Linked DNA regions of Drosophila melanogaster. The protein of the gene in region 2 purifies or fractionates together with the protein of the main gene of each other region. This does not show direct contact. Each region holds a gene or a part of one and is shown on either strand. Other genes may lie near its edges.

What was found.
Region 1: the proteins of ecd (region 2) and CG1965 purify together in Drosophila melanogaster (affinity purification with mass spectrometry, with the first as the bait; one large-scale study listed by BioGRID). This does not show direct contact.
Region 3: the proteins of ecd (region 2) and HIP-R purify together in Drosophila melanogaster (affinity purification with mass spectrometry, with the first as the bait; one large-scale study listed by BioGRID). This does not show direct contact.
Region 4: the proteins of ecd (region 2) and holn1 purify together in Drosophila melanogaster (affinity purification with mass spectrometry, with the first as the bait; one large-scale study listed by BioGRID). This does not show direct contact.

Annotation. Positions count from the first base shown.
Region 1 is NT_033777.3:7,065,801-7,072,124, reverse strand, and holds CG1965 (uncharacterized protein), read right to left. Parts: upstream 4,725-6,324; 5' UTR 4,616-4,724; coding exon 4,396-4,615; intron 4,338-4,395; coding exon 4,036-4,337; coding exon of another isoform or gene 4,031-4,035; intron 3,418-4,030; coding exon 3,177-3,417; intron 3,120-3,176; coding exon 2,937-3,119; coding exon of another isoform or gene 2,929-2,936; exon of another isoform or gene 2,841-2,928; coding exon 2,187-2,840; intron 2,101-2,186; coding exon 1,552-2,100; intron 1,494-1,551; coding exon 1,301-1,493; intron 1,232-1,300; coding exon 908-1,231; intron 853-907; coding exon 801-852; 3' UTR 501-800; downstream 1-500. Other genes in the region: Ufl1 (UFM1 specific ligase 1), read left to right, coding at 1-209, 264-403; CG1105 (uncharacterized protein), read left to right, coding at 5,087-5,201, 5,828-5,983.
Region 2 is NT_037436.4:2,263,028-2,267,658, reverse strand, and holds ecd (ecdysoneless), read left to right. Parts: upstream 1-1,801; 5' UTR 1,802-1,883; coding exon 1,884-2,163; intron 2,164-2,236; coding exon 2,237-4,011; 3' UTR 4,012-4,078; downstream 4,079-4,631. Other genes in the region: CG13806 (uncharacterized protein), read right to left, coding at 192-1,055, 1,128-1,157; CG13807 (uncharacterized protein), read right to left, coding at 4,113-4,303, 4,365-4,631. UniProt on the Drosophila melanogaster protein: Required in both the follicle cells and the germline for oocyte development.
Region 3 is NC_004354.4:3,788,339-3,792,985, forward strand, and holds HIP-R (Hsc/Hsp70-interacting protein related), read left to right. Parts: upstream 1-1,630; 5' UTR 1,631-1,738; exon of another isoform or gene 1,739-1,791; 5' UTR 1,792-1,825; coding exon 1,826-1,998; intron 1,999-2,078; coding exon 2,079-2,200; intron 2,201-2,417; coding exon 2,418-3,064; intron 3,065-3,138; coding exon 3,139-3,330; 3' UTR 3,331-4,139; downstream 4,140-4,647. UniProt on the Drosophila melanogaster protein: One HIP oligomer binds the ATPase domains of at least two Hsc70 molecules dependent on activation of the Hsc70 ATPase by Hsp40. Stabilizes the ADP state of Hsc70 that has a high affinity for substrate protein.
Region 4 is NT_033779.5:10,434,240-10,437,854, forward strand, and holds holn1 (hole-in-one), read left to right. Parts: upstream 1-1,755; 5' UTR 1,756-1,846; coding exon 1,847-1,950; intron 1,951-2,009; coding exon 2,010-2,202; intron 2,203-2,267; coding exon 2,268-2,930; 3' UTR 2,931-3,077; downstream 3,078-3,615. Other genes in the region: TBC1D16 (TBC1 domain family member 16), read right to left, coding at 1-1,098; STUB1 (STIP1 homology and U-box containing protein 1), read left to right, coding at 3,600-3,615. UniProt on the Drosophila melanogaster protein: Required for embryonic epithelial tissue repair, but not for the assembly of the actomyosin cable at the wound edge. Probably acts downstream of rl in the regulation of Ddc and msn transcription to promote wound healing.

The DNA.
Region 1 (6,324 bases), on a different chromosome or scaffold from region 2:
GCTCATCGCAGACCACAAAAAGAAGCTGCAGAAGCAGCTACTAGAGTGCAACGAGCCGGCACTGCTGCTGCACCTGGCTGCACTGATCTTGTTCACCACGATCACTGGTAGCATTTTGCACGCGTCCGGAAAATTCGTTTCTGCCATACTGCAGCATATTCGCGGCTCACTAAACGAGGACCAGAATGCTCTGTTGCTTCGGTATCACGGTGAGTTTTTGCAACCATAATTTGCGTTTTACCTAATTCTTACATACATTTCAGATTTGGTCCTGCAAGTTCTGCAGGCCATTCCCGATAGCAATGAGTCAAAACTGGCCAACGAACATTTGCAGACAATGCAGAATCAAGTGGTGGAGCTAGCTCAAAACTTTTCACGTGCATCGATTTCTAAGGCTGATTGATGATGCTCCTATATTCCAATCTTTCTTCCCATGTCATTAAATTGCGTCTATGTAAATTGGTTCTGGTCTGCAATAGATTTTGCATTTGTTAAATTTTCATAGTTTATAAATTGTTTTTATTACTGCTATGCATGAAGTTACAAAACGATGAGCCTTAAACAGAGTTCCTAGCTTTATCACTTTCGAAGGTTTGGGTTGTTGGAAAAACGATTTAAAATTGATTAGTTTGGAAGGGCTGTTCTCCATTTAGTTTGTTAAGCTCAAGCTTGAATTAAATAAATCTCTTACGAAGCTACTTATATACAATATTTTCTAACAGACCGATATAAGTTGTGCATTTCTTTATAACGAGTATTTGATTGTTAGGATTGATGTGAGCGATGTTTGTCCCTACACTTTATAAACTATGTAGTCTTTGAAGTATTTGCTTGGCTTTATCGCTGGATTGCCTGCAAAAAGGGAAATGATTGCTTTTAACTCTCAAAAGTGAGTTTCATTACTTACATAAAGATTGGATTGCTTGCATCACAGTTCTCTAATGTTTGTTTAATATATCCTATAAAAAGTTCCATGTTCTTGAGGGTCTCGCTGTTCGGTAACAACCAGACTGTAGGCAGGGTATTTACAATGATGTAAGCTTTGTTTATGGCATCGTTTGGCGTGCAGACTCGCATAGCTAATAACAGGTAACGATTCAGAAGGGCTCCAATCGCCAGCTCACGCAGTAGCTTATCAGCCAGGATGCCCTGCCAGCTTAGGAAATTTCGAAACAGCTTTAGACCACTGCAAAACTGCCTCTGAAAGAATGAGGTCTTCGCCTCTTGCACTCTAAAGTTCAAACAAAAAGCGGTAATTAAGACCATGATGGCCAATCTTTTGCAAGAATAATATACTTACTGCTTTGGAAAAATGGGTATAAATACATCATTTTCTAGGGCTAACCGCATGCGTTCCATGATGGATTCAAACAGTTTGTTAAGCTGCTTATTTGTGCCGCTCAAGGGAAACTCGCGACCTAATCGATTGATGAACCCAACCAATCTCAGGGTCTGTGTGGTAGATAATGGATCCCAGCATTCTGTGACCAGAGCTAAAAAACATTCATTTATTACCCCGCTTCGCGTTTTTTTTTAATGTGTAAAACTCACCAGTCACCTTGGGCAGCACAATCTTTTCGATGAGCGCCGGCACCAGATTGATATCCGGATCGATTTTCAGCTGCTCCACGGTTTCATCTGCCTGGGAGGCATAAAGCATGCAGGCCTGATACCAACGCATATTTTCTATATCCGCATACACGTCCAGCAGTGGCGACCAAAGAACAAGTTCGTGTCGCACCAGCGGAGCCAAGACTTTTGGAAGGCACAGGCTAACAAATGCGTCCTGGTATGACGACATGTCAGTTTTACGCCAGGCAAAAAACTTCATTAGTATTAGCTCGATCTTGCTAAAGTCGTCGGTAACGTCTTCAAGGGCGTCCACCGACTGTGATTCTATCTGCGCCATCGTAGTCACACTCAGTTCCTGCTGTTGATCGGCAATTTCATCGTCGCTTGACATGCCATCCAGGTGGGACGAGAGCAGATCATTGCGCTCGCGCTCGCATCGGCGACGTGTCCTCCGACCCTCCCGTTCCGCTGCGCGGCGAACTTGTTCTTCATAATCAGGTGTTCGGCGGGAGGCAGCTGTTATAGGTTCTAAAAGCAGAAGATTGAACATATTAATATAGTTTAATAATCGAATTATTTTCCCTAAGACAAGACTAAAAACAAAATTCTCATACTTGCTGATTCGGCGATTTCTTTGGCCTGATCACGTACATCCTGCCTCCGTCTGTTTACCAAATAACGTTGATTTTTGCCATACTGTTGCAGTGCACGCTTCTCAAGATCGTATATTACTGGCGCTTTTTCCGAGAGGCAATCGACAAGGTCATTCACATAGCACTTTATTTCTTGGTAAAACTTGTACTTTGCGGCCGCTGTCGGTGCATTCTGCTGGCACTCTAACTGCTGGAGCTTTAATGCCTTTAGTTCTGTACTAATCCTGGCCATACTAGCGCTGTGATCAGCCGACCGCTCTTTAAGCTCGCTAAGACGCGATTGAATGGCAGCTAGGATTTCCTGAGGAGTTCGCAATGCTGTAGCCTTGGCCTTTTCCTTCTTGGTTTTGACGGATGATCGAACTGCTGCGGCTAAGTTGGTGCGCTCAAGGGCATTTTTAGCATAGGCCTGCTCCAGCAGAGTGGACGTGGACTGTGCCGCTGTTGAATCTCCGTCGTCCATGCCGGTTCCGATGCCCGACGGGGCAGGCTTGATCATAAAACGGGAGAGCACTGTTTCATGCTGAGAATGGACCAACTGGGCTGCCGTAACACCCTTGCGGATCTGCTGGTTTTCCCACTCGTTCATCTCGCGATCTGAATCTCCGTCGGTGGCTGCAGAGGAGTGAGCAAAGGTTAACAATAGTCTAAAAACTTCACCTGTAATTAGCCTGGCTCTGGTCACAAATCGGACTTGGTCCCTCTACATACAATCATTTTCGACAGCATAAAATTGCTCGCGCCGCTCTTCACGCTCTTTGCGTCCCGTAATATCGTTCATGTCCATGCGTTCTTCATCATCCGACTGATCACCCTCAACATCTTCGCAGGGCAGACGGTTGCTTAGCTTGGCCGGCTCCTTGGGCTCCTCAATAGGTATATAGTCGCCTGCACCTGGAATATAACACAAAGAGTAAGCCATCGCTAGTGTGGCAACGTGTCGAATCTTACCCTGTTCTCTAGCCCTTTGCCGACGTTTTCGGGCAGCGTGTATCATTGCTGCATCCGGAATGGAACCACTTTCGAGCATCTGTTTCAAATGTTCTGGCTTGGAGAAACGGTGACGCGTTTTGTCATGGCCACCATCCTCGGATTGCTGGTCTTCTTCATCGCTCATATCCTCCCGTCCAGCGCAAAGGGCAGCTCTACCGTTCAGAATTGCCTCGGGAGTCTCAGATTTCTTTACCACTAGCTGGGGACAAGATAAGTAAGTTTTATATTATTGTGGATTCCTAAAGGACTTCGATTAGGGTGAAGCATTGGTATTCATGCTGCTTTTGTGGAAGGGAAGACATGCGACTATCAATGGTGGGAAAATTACTATTTATGTGACTACGTTAGCAATGGCTTTGATTTTTGGTAATTCAAAAAATATATCTTTGAATGTTACATAATATTTAAATAGTTTTCTTCTGGTAAGGTCAAGTTGTATGCGTCAATTTATTATCAAAGAAAGAATGAGTTAGAATGTTCTGTGATAAATTTTCTAATTCGTGGTCATAGTTACAGTAGTAGTACTTAAAGATCGCATTATAATTGGAAATTTTATGTTGAGTGATAGTTGGATCGCAGATCCTAGACACTTCCCATCACTGACCAGTTAAAACGCCAAGCAAATCAACGTCTAAGCTACTAATATTTTAAAATTGGCACTTCAGACCAGAAAAACCAACTAATTTAATAACACATTTAAACTCATTCAGCCTAATCTTTGCTGCTAATTGTTCTACGATAATTCAATGTAATTTCTGATGTTGAAATTTCGTTAAACGGTATTATTGTAGAAGAAATTGAATAATAATAACCTTACCACAAAGTCGTCTGTGCGTATTTCGGTTTGGATCATATGATTATCACTTTTTTTACTTTTACTCTGATCGCTGGCACTTTTATATCTGCCAGCATTGGCAGGATTCGAGTTGGAATTCGGGGGACCCGATGATGGGCCACCGGACGACTCTAAATGCTGTGTACTACCATTTTCGCCCCCGGGATGTCCGCTGTTTTCCGCCCGTTCCTCGCGCTTCTTCTTGCGGCGTTCCTTGTCCAGCATGCGCATCACTTTCTTGCTATGCGACGACTTTCGCACCTGGAACACCTCGCCGTCATCCTCTGCAAAAGAATTGGGGATTTTGGCTCCATACTCTTTTTATATTCCGGTATCACTCACCATCATCTGCGAAGCTGAGCAGCGCCTTTGGCTTGCTGTTGTCCTCCTGCGGCTTTATGGCCTTCCGGCTCTTCTCTTTCTCCCTCTTGCCCGAAATTATGGGAGGCGGTGGCGCCTCCATTTCGGCGTCCGGATCCAAGGATGCGCCGTCCTCCTCTTCGTCAGCGTTGCTGGAGAACACGCGTCGCTGAATTTTCTTCGGTTTGCGAAAAAGCGACATTTTCCACGATGTTGTTGTTACTCTGCGATTTGTTTAATCAATGAAAAATCGGAAGAAAAGCGAATTTTCGCAAGATCTCTTCTTCTTGCTGTCGTATTGTAATAGAGATGAAAATCTTTCGATGTCGTTCTCGTGCTCACGTGAGTCACGAGCAGGGCTGGAACGTTAATTCTCGGTCCTCGGTCTAGCACTTACAAAACTTTTCTGTATTGAAAATATGAATAGCTTTACAAATTTTGAAACTATTGTAACAATTAAATAAAAATGTGATAAATACATTAATTTGTATACCCAGGGCAGCTACACATAAAACTGGTCTTATTAAAATATCGGCAAGAGCTTAGATGACTTTTCATCCCTAGATACCGACAACGGCCATCTCTAATCTCTGAATTCGGCGACCGCAGGGCGTTTCAAAACAGACCGAAAAGTCGTTAACTTATTGGTGCCTTGAGTCACAGAATCTCTAACATGGGCCTTAAAGGTTGTGAATTGCAATTGGACAACCCGTGGAACACCTACTACGCCGGTCAGACGGTCAACGGCCAGGTGAAGTTTACGTTCGACTCGCCCAAAAAAGTCCGAGGTAAGTGCGAATCCAAGTCCCAATTGTGGGCAGCGCTGGAGAATGCTAATTAAAACCCCAGCTGCTTACTATTACTCATAGGAGTGACGACACCTGTGTAAGAGTCAATGATTAATTGGAAATTTAGTAAATAAATATACATAGCACTTTCGTCTTCAATGTGCAGGATGTTCACTGGCTGTCGTTGGTAGTTTCCTTGCTAACTTCTTAAAATCCTGACGCAAAAAGCCGGCGCACCACCCACAAATGTCGGTTGCTCTTTCGGTGCCTAAACGACCTTGTTTTCAGAAAGCTGGCGGTTGTTAAACCCTCCAAAGAAATGCACTTTCTCCTCTTTTCAGTTGGGCGATAACAACTATAAATAGCTCCAAGTGTGAATGAATACAAAAGAAAGTAAATAAATATGTAGTACATTTGACGGGGGCATGTAACCTATGTGGCAAACATTCCACCATAATCAAATTTTGAGGTCACCAAACACGGGAGACAGATGCTGCCTGGTAGCGATGATGTCATCCGTTGAGTATGCCTTAGAAAGCTTTTCATATTATTTATAGCTAAAATTAAAGCGCCACAGTGACGTCGTCGATTGTCATTCCGTAAATACAGCCACTTGTTTCTCGTAGGTATTATCATTCGGTTCCTGGGAGAAGCCAACACCGAGTGGTCAGAGGAGAAGAGCGTAACCACCAGCGAGGGCAAGACCGAGAACGAGGTCACCCAACTGAAGGGGCATGAGGAGTACTTTAAGATCCAGTACTATCTGCTGGGCGGCAAAAACAGTAAGTACAAAAAACAGACCGGGAATTCACTCCCCGGTTGCCAGACCTTAGTTTATCTGAAAAGAATTGGAGGATTTAATTATTGAAAGTGTCTATTATTAAGCATAAATTTTTGTATTCTATGGTGTAAGAATTGGCCAAGAAGATTTTTGTTTAAAATTAAATTTGTCCTTATATGAATCGAATAAATGGGATTGCACTTCCTCGCTCTATATAAAATAATAACTAAATCTTGTAATTACTATACACCTTATAGCATTAATAACTTCTCCTTTTGAAACTACAATAATTTAATGTTTTTATTTAGCTTTATTAAATAATATACCTTGACAGACCCTTCC
Region 2 (4,631 bases):
AAACAAAGAACTCATTCTGGTTTAATTACCCACGGACATGGTGGTTGAATCTTTATTATCAAACTGATACCTTTTGAAATGGGAATTCATAAATTCATGTCAAATAGATTGTTATTCCAGGGTAAACATGAGTTGTTTATTAAATGTAATCCATTGAAGAGGAATAAATAAAGTGCAGGAATGCATCTTCCTCAGCAGCTTCCCAGGACGCAGGAGGATAGCTCCGGTCGGTAGTAAGTCCCATTGGGGCAGTCCATGTGCCGCAGGGTGCCATTTAGAGCCGAGCAGTAGTAGTACTTCCGGCAGTCGTTTCCATCGGCCATCAAGCCCACGTGCTGACAGGTGTTGGGCAGCACCGAAAAGTCGTCGTCGTTGGGATCCTCGATGATCACCGAAGGATCATCGGTGCTGGGCGGCAGGACATTCGATCCGCTGCGGCAGACGTAGTCCACGAAGGTCTCGCCATCGTTGCACCTGTGCAGCGAGGGGTAGATGACGATGGTGTCGTTCAGGTTCTGGTTAACCGTCGACTTGCACACGTAGAAGATATTGGGATTGGTGGGCCAGGCGGCCACGTGTCCGGCATTGGGGCAGTAGTACTGTCGCTGCAGGCAGACGGAGTCAGTCAGGGTCAAAGTGCACTGGCCAGTCGTCGCATCGAAGGCCTTGTCGTTGCCGCAATCAACGGCAGCAGCCACCAGAGTGGCCCCCACGAAGTAGCACATGTGGTACTTCTGGCAGTCGTACGGATCTGGAAAGATGCCTTGCGAGGTGCACTGAAAGTTGCCCTCGATGCCGAACGGATGACACGGGCCCGTCTCGTTGGTGCAGCTCCCCAGCCGGGCGTTGCAGTAGTATCCATTAGCCACGTCGCACGATTCCACGGGAATGTTCACCCATCCGTTGGAGTGACGCACGCAGGTGGCCAGCAGCTCGCAGGACTCGCAGATGGGCCCGGGACTCTGACGGCCCTCGCAGGAGTTTGTCTCCCGCGGCTGGATGCGCCGGGTGGTAACAGTGGCTCCCATAAGCAGAGCCACCAGGTTGAGCAGTAACTGTTGGGCGGTGGGGACATAAAAATCAAATGCCATTCACTTAAGTTTATCCTATTCTGAAAAACTACCTACCACGCTCACTAGTATTCTTTCCAAGAACATGACGATGTATTTCCCCTTTTGGACTTTGTTTCTGGTTAGTTTAGGTCCAACTTCCACGAGAATCTTCGATTGTCTGATTCAGACTCATATGGTGACAGCAATAAAAGTCCCGAAATAGCAGACTTTAGATAGCGTTTTATATCTTTTGGGTGTCTGTTTGTCTATCTATCAACTTTGAAAAGGCGATGGGAGTTGGGCAAAGTGGCAAACGCAGCGGCGTTTCTAATTACAACAACTACGCGGATCGGAATGCCGCAATGATGGGTGAGTGAACGACATTTACTAAAAATTGGTCCAACTAGCTGGAGTGTCAAGTGGAGTGGGTGTTTAATGTGTAAACAAGTCGGGATTTTGTTTGGCCGACTTATTCAGAGCACTTTAAAGTGCTCTCGAGTAAATATTTAAATACCATTTCTTTCAATAAAACTGACCGCTAGCTTTTGTAAATATGCACTTTTAGTAAAGGAATTTAATGCCTAATCTTCGGTTCATACCTAATCTTCAATCATAAAAAATCGCTGAGAGAAATAACGGGAATGGGTTGGGTCACCGCTAAGCGCTTAGCCACGTCCTCCACCGCTCTGCTGAAGCGGAACCCTGCTGCGCGACCAGTGTGAACGAACTTCTTTGAACGATAGTCAGTTCGGAAGCACGCACTCATGTCGATAGTGTCACCTCGAACGCCCTAACAAATAAAAAAAAGGAGGAGGAGCAAAAGGACAAAGGATGAGCAAGATTCCAGGCAGCAATCTGGAGTTCGTCCGCGAGGAGGACTTCGTGGAGTACTACATCTTTCCCAAGATCCCCGACAACGTACAGGATGAGGGCGCGCTGCGCAAACTGATGCTTCAGATCCGCAACGAGATCTCGGCCATTGTAAGGGAAAAGTCCTTAGAGCGCAGCTATCTGTGGCACAAGGACGAGTTTCAGCTTCAGGTGAGGCTGGGCGGCGCCGAGGAGCGCCTGCTGAACGAGGAGACAAACCCGGAGGAGGAGGCGGAACTGGGTATGCGCACAATGTGCTATAAATAGCTTTGTTTCTGCAATTCGAAATCATCCATTTCCATGTCCCCGCCCAGGCGACCTCCCACCGCACTTCCACGGCGTAACCCACTATGGCGACAACATCAGCGACGAGTGGTTCGTTGTCTATCTGCTCACGGAGATCACACGTGCACGCGGCGACTGCATTGCACGGGTGAGCGATTCGGATGGCGAGTTCCTGCTCATCGAGGCGGCGGACGCCCTGCCCGACTGGGCGTCTCCGGAAACGTGCGAGCAGCGCGTTTATCTGGTCGGTGGTCACCTGCAGCTTCTCCAGAACTCCGCCGCCAGCAGCCAGGACAAGCCACTGACCATGGCCATGGCTGTGCAACGTATACGAATGAATCCCACCCTGTACCGCTGCTCGCAGGAGATACAGTCGTGCATTGACGCGCGGCTTAAGGAGTACCAGATCGCTCAGCCGCACTTCTCCATTCATCGCCAGGTGCTGGAGCTCCCGCATAGCGCTGCACAGCTTCTGAAACAGAAGCCAAGGCTGCTCTCCTCGGCGGTTAGGGCTTTCTGCGAGCGGGACTCGCTGGACATCAAGGCACTTCGCACCATGCGATATTTCCCACCGGAGGCCACACGCGTGCGCACCAACGTGCGTTTCACCCGCTGTCTGTACGCCATGTTGTCGCACCAGCAGTATCTGCCCGAGAAGAGACTCGGCTGGCATCTCACGGATCCTGTATCCGAGCCGGAACGATATAAGGAACAACTATTGGGCTTGAAGCTGGCCAGTGGACTGGAGATCCTGGCCACTCAAGCCAAGCGGGTTGAGGGCCAACAGCTGGAGGACCTTCCTGCCTGGCGATCGTATCTGCGGAGCTTGCTGAGCAAGGGCTACTTCCGGGACAACATCGAGGGCAGTGCCGAGTACCAGGAGCTGCTGAACAAGGCCAAGGTGTACTTTCGTGGCAACCAGGAGCGTTTCCGCACAGCCTCCAGAGCGGGTGCCGAGATCCTCGACCTGTTGCTCCATCCAGCGGAGGCTGCTTCCGAGGAGCTGCGCGATGAGGAGAACAACCTGCAGCCCAGCGACTCGGATGAGTGGTTGAATATCAGCGCTGAGGATCTAGACTCCATGCTGCAGGATCGCTACGGACCCAAGAAGCTCTACAAGCCGAACGGACAAATGAATGCCGAGGAGTTCACCAAGCAGCTGGCGGAGTTCTTAGATCGGCAGTCCAACTACGAGGGCATTGAGCACCGAGGGCTCGAGGAGCCAGAACTGGACTCAGACGATGACGAGCCGCCGCCGCAGGCAAACGGTTCCACAGGACTGACAGCAAAGGTCAAGAAGAATCCCTCCATGCGCAAGGCGTGCCAGCGCAATTCCGTCATCCAGCCGGAGGAACCGGACAGCACCCATGTGCGGAATTTCCTGGATTTCGTAATACCCGAGGACAACTGGGACTCCACCTCGGAGATGAGCGACTACGCGGACGAGGACGACATGGAGAGTAATCTAAATGCACTTTCTGGAGGCGGCAGTGTGTTCCCACTCGATCGACAGATTCAATCGTATATGGAGCAGATGGACCGCGAGTTGGCTCAGACCAGCGTGGGCAAGTCCTTCCACGGCAAGAAGAAGACAGCTCCACAGGCGGACGAGGACGATTTCGATGACATTGAGGACTTTGAGCCCATCAATATAAACGTAAACACGCTGCGCAACATGATGGATAGCTACCAATCGCAGGTTGGCGGCGCAGGTCCTGTATCCAATCTGTTTAGCGCCATGGGCGTGGGCATGTCGGCTGTCGAGGACAAGGAACAAAAGGATATATCTGAGTCGGCCGTTTAAGCGGGATTACAGGAATTAGTATAGTCTTAAGTCCATTAAATAAACGTCAATGTGAATATTTCAATGTAATGCAGAGTATTCTTATTTGATATATTCGATAACTAATCCTTGGATGCAGGCACAAAGTTTCCATAGTCGCGTCTGACCTTCATGGGTGGTTCGTTATTGGGAGTATCATTTCTCTGGTTATGATCATGGGAGCGCTTGTAGCCTCCAGATCCTCCGGACCCTCCGCCTCCTTCGTACCGATTCCGGCGATCGATGTGATCGTATCTGTTGTTGCGCCGGTTGTCTGTGGGAACAAATGCGTTGGTAAGCTATAAATAGAAACTGAGCTTCTTCCCGGGTATTACCCCTGAATCCCCTGTCCTGGTTGTTGTGGTAGCCAGCTCCTCCTCGTCGCTGCCAGCCCCTGTCGCCGCCTCCTCTGCGATGTCCGTTGTAGCGATTGTGGTAGGGATGACCACCGCCTCCTCCGCCCTGGAAGCCGCCTCCTCCTCCGCCACCTCCCATCCAGTTCTCCACAATTGGCGGCTCCGGCACAGGCTTGCTGCAGTGCGCCATGAACTCTGGGTCGTCGTCAGTGAAGCGGTCTGCGAACTCAAGCTCGCAGGACTCCA
Region 3 (4,647 bases), on a different chromosome or scaffold from region 2:
ATATAAATAATTTATGCCTAATTAAAGTTTAAATTAATGAAGAAAACCAGCAAAAAAACATAAAAAACCAGAAGAACCATTTCAGATTTGTATGCAAATTTGTATATGTACGTACTTTCCTTTAATTTTAGCCAATCAGTTTGTAAGATTAAATTTTTTTTTTGCATCTCTATAAAGAATAATGATATGAGGATAATGATTCCGATTTTTTTTTCCGTTTAATGTAACCGTTAGAATTAGCCCATAATGGTCGATATCTAAATGTGTGTGTATATCGATGTGATGTCATCGATTGTCGATAACGATTGGATGCGAGTGTGTGTTAATTTAATTTGATAAAAGATAAAGGAAAGCAAGGAATGTGAAGATAATGAAAGGAGATGCATAGAGAATGAGAGCGAATCTATCTATTATATAATTATGTAAAATGCACATCTTTAAATTATAAATTATACATATTTAAAAGGAAACTATTATTATTATTTTGATTACCATTATCATTATTTTTTATTATCACTTAACGGTTTCGGTTTGATCCACAGCGAAACCAACAACAACCAAGAAACAGAAACAACAAAAAGAGAAACAAAATAAACAAGCGAAATGTTTGATAAAAAAAACCACGAGATGTTTTAATTTATTTGTCTTTAATTCTTCGATTTTATTGAGTTTTTCATAGAGAAAGTTGTCACACTCAAGAACACACACGCAAGCGTATAAAGCTAAACAAATTAATACCTACTAAGTGTTTAAATAGTACTAAACGAATCAAAATATAAATACTTAAAAAGAAAAAAAAACGAAAATAAAAATAAAAACAGCAGCAGAAAAAAACGATGAGACAGTTGAGCAGACGAGAAAAACAAAGCCCATTAAATTATTTGTTGAGTATTTTATTAAAAAATAATTACGATAATAATTAAAAAGTTTAAATTGAACGAATTACGAAAAACAAACTGAATATACATATATGTGTGCATATATACATATATGTATGTATTATATATAAACAAATTATTTAATAGTTATGCTAAAAAATTATTTAAAGTGAACGGATATGAAAAATATTTGTATGCGTGCGAGCACGGAGAGAAGGGCACTCAGAATAGGCCATCGACACCACCCACTCCCTTCCGATACCCGAACATCACCACCAGTTTTCACCATTTTCTGACCCTTAACCCCTTCAACCAGACACACACCAAACACAAGAAAAGGCGAAGAAAGCCGAAAAAAAAACAATGCAAACACGAAATAGGCGGCGACGACAGAGATAAGCGCGAAGAAGATACTAAATCAATAAGTAAACATAAAAATTAATTAATAAATTAATTCCAAAACAAAATGAAAAAAGCTAAAAAAAAAACATCAAGAAAACAAAAGACAAAAGCAAACAAAAAACATGACGAAACATTGAAAATAAAAAAATACTAAAATGATTAACAGAAAACTGTTTTAATGTCAATGGGGGCAGACATAAACTTCTTCAGCAATAGTTATGGACTTAATTGTGGCTCATTACATTCTCGATCCTATGTGAATATATATGTATTTAGTTTTGGGGTATGTGGCGGAAAATGGCTGTTATCTTTTTAAAAGTTGTCACATTTTCCAGCACTATCGTACGCACAAAATACTGAAAAATACAAGAGCGAAGCGATAAATACCGTCGATTAATTCTCAGTACTTTTTCATGGTATTTATGCATACCAATCGATAGGGCAGAGCAAAAGTGGACGTAAAGCTAAGCAAATATTGCTTATTAATAATATTAATATATTAATATATCAGATCTGAAAACATCGAGACAAAACGGAATTCAGAAATGGCTTTCACAATGCAAACCGGGGATCTGAAGAAGCTGAAGTACTTCATCGACTTTGCGCTTGAGAATCCCACCTTCTTGAACATGCCGCAGCTGCAGTTCGTCAAAGATTTCGTGGAGAAGTTTGGTGGCACGGTGCCGCCTGGCCAATTCAACGGTGGCAGCGCCGGAGGGTAAGTTAACCGAACTATTTGACCAATTTTCAAAACAACACGATTGTATGATTTGCTCATCCCGCGGCTTGTTCTTCCAGCAAGTGCCCATTCGGCGGTGTTGCTGGTGCCAAGGCCAACGAGCCGGCCAATGCCCCCGAGGATAGCGAGGACGAAAAGTCCCTCTCCGATCCTGAGTCGGACGTGGAGCTGGACATGGAGGGTGAGTGTGCAAATTTTGCCGAGTCACGTGGTCATTGGGGGTCACAACCCTGGACTTTGATGCGTTGCTGTCGCAGTGCTGGCAGTTGCTTTATCTTATATCCTTTCGACACTGCAAACTTAGCGTTTACCCAAATTCGAATCCTGCAGTATTAATATATGTAATACGCCAATTAAAACTATGTATCTTCTATCCGTATTACTTCCGACGCCTTCAGGTGTGATCGAGGCGGACAGCGACCCCGCCCAACCCATGGGCAACTACAGCAAGAAGGCCACCGAAGAGGAGGTGGAGCAGGCGAGCGAGCTGCGCGCCCAGGCGGCCTCCGCTTACGGCCAGCAGAAGTTCGACGAGGCCATCGCCTTGTACACCAAGGCCATTGAACTGAGCCCGGGTAATGCCCTTTTCCACGCTAAGCGTGGTCAGGCCTTCCTCAAGCTGAAGAAGCCGAATGCCTGCATTCGGGACTGCGACGTGGCGCTGGAACTCAACTCGGATTTGGCGGCTGGCTACAAGTTCAGGGGACGCGCCCGTCGCCTCCTCGGAGATTTTGAGCTGGCTGCCCATGATTTGCGCCAAGCATGCAAGCTGGACTTTGACGAGGAGACAGACGAGTGGCTAAAGGAGGTCACTCCGAATGCCAAGAAAATCGAGCAGCATCGCTTGAAGCAGGAGCGTCGCCAGGCAGAGCGTAAGATCAAGGAACGCCAGCGGGATCAGAGGCGCGCACGTAAGGAGCAGGAAAAGCACAATGCCAGCTCTGGTGGATCATCTGGAGAATTTTCCGGTGGGAATCCTGGTAACGGAAATATGTCTGATATACTGGGCGCCATGTCAGATCCCGAGGTGTCAGCCGCCATTCAGGTTCGTGAATACTACTTTTCTATTTCTAATACAAATGCAGTAATCATATCGTTGTTATTTATTAACTTTCGTAGGACATTTTGTCAAATCCGGGTAACATCACAAAGTACGCGTCGAACCCGAAGATATACAACCTTATCAAGAAGATTGTGCCCGGTGGAGATGTGGGTGCTGCCTTTGGCCAAGCGGGTGAAAAGGCTGGAAAGCCGAGCGAGCCTAAGCCTAAAAAGGACTCCGCCGACTTCGTCGATGACGGTTTGGACTAAGGTTTAGAAATGGGGCAGTAGTAAGACTGAAACATGCGTCGATAAAAAGAAGTTAACAACCAATTACACGAAATCGAGCGAGATTACAAAACAACAAAGAAAGAGAAAGCAACAGAGTGCGGTGAAGAAGATGGACTACACGAAAAACAAAAGGGAAAGCGGCTGCCTTACACATTTTTGCAGCTGAGAAAAAACAAACATTTCCTAAGCTTTAACTTAACCAACACGTAAAAGAACGGGCGACAATGGAGAAAATTCAAATATTCAAAATACTACAAGCAGTCAGAAGAATAAGCAACATTTATTTAAATCGAGAAGAAAGAGATGTTGGAGATGCTGGAGACGCTTCTTCACATATTATTGAAAAGCATACTTGCGGCCATTAAAGTGGCAAATGAAACTATACAAAGGAGCTAGAATATGCTTAAAAACTTATCACATTTGCAGTTCACAGGTAAATCAAAAGATTGTCCTGTGACGAACAAAACATAAATGTTTAGACGTCAAGTCAGATTCAAGGGTGCCGATCGATCTAGTTGAACTAAAGCTCGAGAAACAACCAAAAGAAAATAAAAAATATATATATGTTCAATAATATTAGCCTAAATTACCGAGAACGAAGAAACGGATAAAACTAATCGCATCATTTGGTCAAACAAAATTGTACTGAGTAGGATTTAAATCATATTGTAAGCAAATGCATTTAGCCCCCCAACATGAAAGCAATCGCCCATTCATTCACACACTCATTCACACACTCATTCAACCAGTGATCAATGGAAATAAATAAACGAATCAACAAGAACCCGAATTGCTAATGTCCATATTTTTTGGTAAACGGGTAAAAGGGGAGATACTTTTGCTTTTTTTTCGAGCGGGTTGGACAGATGGAGCCGTAGTCCCTTAAACTATCCGGCGCATCACCTGTGTGGGTTGCTCACTTTGTATGAAGGACATTGGGTACGCATGGTGTATGAAAGCGTCGATTAGACGCTTCAATGGCTGCACCCTGCACCCTGGATCCAGAACCTATCTACCGCACCCCGCCCCATGTCAGCGCGAAATTGGCTAACGGACAGCTTGGCGCACATGTTCGATTATGGCCAAATCGAGCGACCAAGCAGAACCAGCGGCACATGACCTGGGCTCAGCGATGCCAAGACCTGGGTGGTTGTACCTAGAGGTACTTGATTGCTTTTTAAACTCAGCTTGGTACAGCGTACACGACTGATTATTTAGAAGCTATGACAGCTTTCTTTGCTTTGATATTTTTCATATTTATATATAAATTATAAATATATATTTATAAGCAGGTGA
Region 4 (3,615 bases), on a different chromosome or scaffold from region 2:
CGTGCCGTAGAAAAAGTTCGTTGTTATCTTCTTGACATCGCCCTCGTCCGGATGCATTTCCGATTTCTTAACCTCCGGCCGACAGACCATGAAGTGCCTGTACGGCAAATCGAATTTATCCTGGCCCGTTTCCGATGTGATGTTGTGCAGAAAGCAGTGCCACTGGTGCAGCACCTGGGCCAGGTGATCCAAGCCACCGTAATGGAAATGTAGAATCTTGTACTGCGACTCCCGCGACGCGATCACCAGCTGACCCGAAGTGCAGTTGTCGTCATTGAAGAAAAGGCGCAGAGATCGCATTTGGCTTAGGTCAACGGAGAAATGGCGGCACTTCATCGCGGATTTTTGGCGATCGGCTGGCGTCGAATTGCCGCTATCCGGGAACTCCAGGTTGTGCTTGAAGGCCAGCAGTTCAGGTGTTGTCCACTTTGGGTTATCGGTTGCCGGGCCATCGCCTACTCCAGAACCATTCGTGCAATCGGAGCAATTGTTACTATCCGGCCGGATGGTGATGCAGTTGAAGGACTGCGATATATTGCTGTTCTCGATCTGCGGATTGGAGATCGTTATGTTCACCGACGTGATGGGGTTATTCTTCAGCAGAGCGGTCAAGTCGTCTATGGATGCAGCTTGGCCACCCAGCAGCGGTTGCAGTTCGTTCTTTAGCTCCTGCATATCCGCCGCGTTCTCATCCTCCTCCCGAATGTCCCTCTCCTGGATCGTCTGCGGTATGGTCACGTGGCAGTAGCCGTTTCGAGAGTCCGGCGACTTGCTCCTCGGATTACACTGACCCCGGCAATCGTCGGCATTCAGATTGGTATACTTGCATAGCGACGAGTTCGGTATCCAGGTGAGCAGAAGCGTGGGCCTCTTGGCGCTATTATACTGATCTACAAAGGTCTTTGTCGTGCAGGTCAAATAGCCCGGATTGTGCAGTATATCCGACTCATCGCGGGCGATTGTGGGCGGATGGATGCAGACGTTATTCTTGCAGAAGAGGATTTCGTTGTCTTCGTAAGCAATATCGATTTTTCTGTCCAATCTCTCGTCGCCCAGTATGAAACTAGAAGCCTTTTTGATAATGCTTCCTATGGGCATGGTCTCGAATTTGATATCCTTGAGCGGGTAACTACTATATGGTGAATTATAGGTTTCCTTCCCGGAGTTATCCTAACGGATTTACTAGTGGGCGGATGGGGAACTTTTTTCTCTGGTTAGCTTCTGGTTTGGCGGATTTTTGTTTGATTATGGCGGTCGCTGGTTACCATAATTTTAGGAATTGGTTGGCTAAACCTTTGATTCGACAATTAATTGTAACACAGCGGATTGGTGAAAAAAAAAACTATTAACTTTTGATTCTAGGGACCTCTCACAAGCAGGATGACATTGGAGGAAAAGAATTTACGCGAAAACTCAGCGCAGGCGCAGTTAACAGTCGATGGTTTTAAGACTGGTTTCGATATTTAATACTTTAAAAATGTTGAGGATTTATTAATTCAAACTGCAATGAAAAGGTATATTTTTAATAACAATGATAATATATTAAATGCGAGTAGGTGTATATTAATATCTTCTTATTCAGCTTGCAAATCAATCAAATCTAAGTCTATTTCTATAAGCTTTCTTCACATAATCATACTATATATCAAATGGAATACAAAACATATTATATATACATTAATTAAATATAATTTAAATAAATTTTAGAAACTACAGGAACATTGGTATTGGAACAGCATATGTTCCAGCTATCGATATCAGACTTACCTTCACTAACGTAAATAGAATCAATAGTCGCTTAAAAATATTGACATTGCATTTAGTTTTGTCTTGAGTTCTTGATAAAATGGCGAGCAAAAGAAAGCACCAAGCATCCCAGAAAGTGAAAGAGGAATCCTTCAAGAAACACACGCTTGACTCCGATGAAGAGGATTCTGACGACTACGAAAGGTAATGCTTAAAATGTGCAAACAATTGATTGTTTTGATTTCGGCACTTTTTGTTTGCAGGGAATACCTCAATGATAGCGACATTGAGGGCGGCGAGGAGGGCGTGGCAAAAGTGGAAGACGATGTGAAGGTAACACCCTTCAATATGAAGGAAGAACTGGAGGAGGGACACTTCGACAAAGATGGTCACTACCATTGGAACAAGGAGACGGAAGCAAAGGACAATTGGTTGGACAACATAGACTGGGTTAAAGTAAGGATTCCATCACTGCTGCCTGTACACAATCATTTAATTTAAAAGCAATATTTGCCTAACAGATTGGCACACAGAAGAACGCCTTCGACCCGGCAAAAGATGAAGAAAACTCTTCCGATGAGGAGAAGAACGAACCCGTGGGCAAGGCCTTTAACTTGTCCATGAACCTCATGAAAATGGTCGAGTTTATGAAACCGGGAGAGACTGTCAAGATGACCCTGCAGCGTCTGGGTAAGCAGCGCCCCGTCCTAACAACCCTTCAGAGGATTAAGCAGAAAAAGGCCGGCATCGTTGACCCAAAGACACAGGAAATCTCTCAGCTCACCGAGCTGGCCAACGAGATTCTCTCGAAGACGGGCAATATGGATATATATCAGGATACGTACGAAAGCATCAAGGCCAAGATCGCCGATTTGCCAGGAACGAGCAAACCTAAAGTAGCCGATGATATTGATATGTATGCAGATGATTTCGAAACGAAAGAATTGGAGCGCTCTAAGACATCGTCGAGTGATAGCTCCAAACCAACGACGACTACCTCAGAGGTGACCTGGGAGTTTAAATGGTCGCAGGATGAGACTGATATCCAGGGACCCTTTTCCACGGAGAAAATGTTGAAATGGTCCCAGGAGAACTACTTTAAAAACGGAGTCTATGTGCGAAAGTGCGGCGAAAACACAAATTTCTATACAAGCAACCGCATAGATTTCGATTTGTACTTGTAGGCCTTAGTTAACAAATGTTAAATTCTTTGGGTTTTAACATGTTTTCTGCAAATACTTTGTTCTATAATTGTATACTGTATACTTTACAAGAGGTTTCAATTAGTTTGCACTTGGTTTGGACTTAAAATAAAATTCATATTCATATTGATTCTGTCGGCTCTTAAATTTGGTCAGATATACCAAATTATGTATCCGAGTTACTTGCGCTAGTGACGAATAGCGAAAGATTCTTCTATTAGACCCACTAGTTCAGTAAGAGATATCTGATAGTCGAGAAACTCGAAAATGGCACTGTTGTTTTTGAAATGTGCAAACGATAGTGTGGCAAAAGTATCGTTTGGGCGGTGATAGTGCAATCGATGAATGTGCAGCTTTAATTTAAGCTTGTGAGTCTTGGCAACTCTAGAAACACATCGATTAACGTAGCTGAAAATTGTTTTATGTTTAATTAAATACAGGCGAATAGCTCAAGATCTTTTTGGTGTTATGAGCGTTCAAAAGTCACTACCGTTTCCCACTTAATACTTTGTTAACTGTTAAGTTCGTGCAGCAGTTCCCCAATTCTTGCAGAGGAAACAAATTTACGAGTGCTTCGGTGTTGTTGGACACACACTCACTTTTCATCGGTGGAAAATCAAATTTGGGACCAGGCGCAGAAGATTCGTCAGGATGACGACCAAGCACA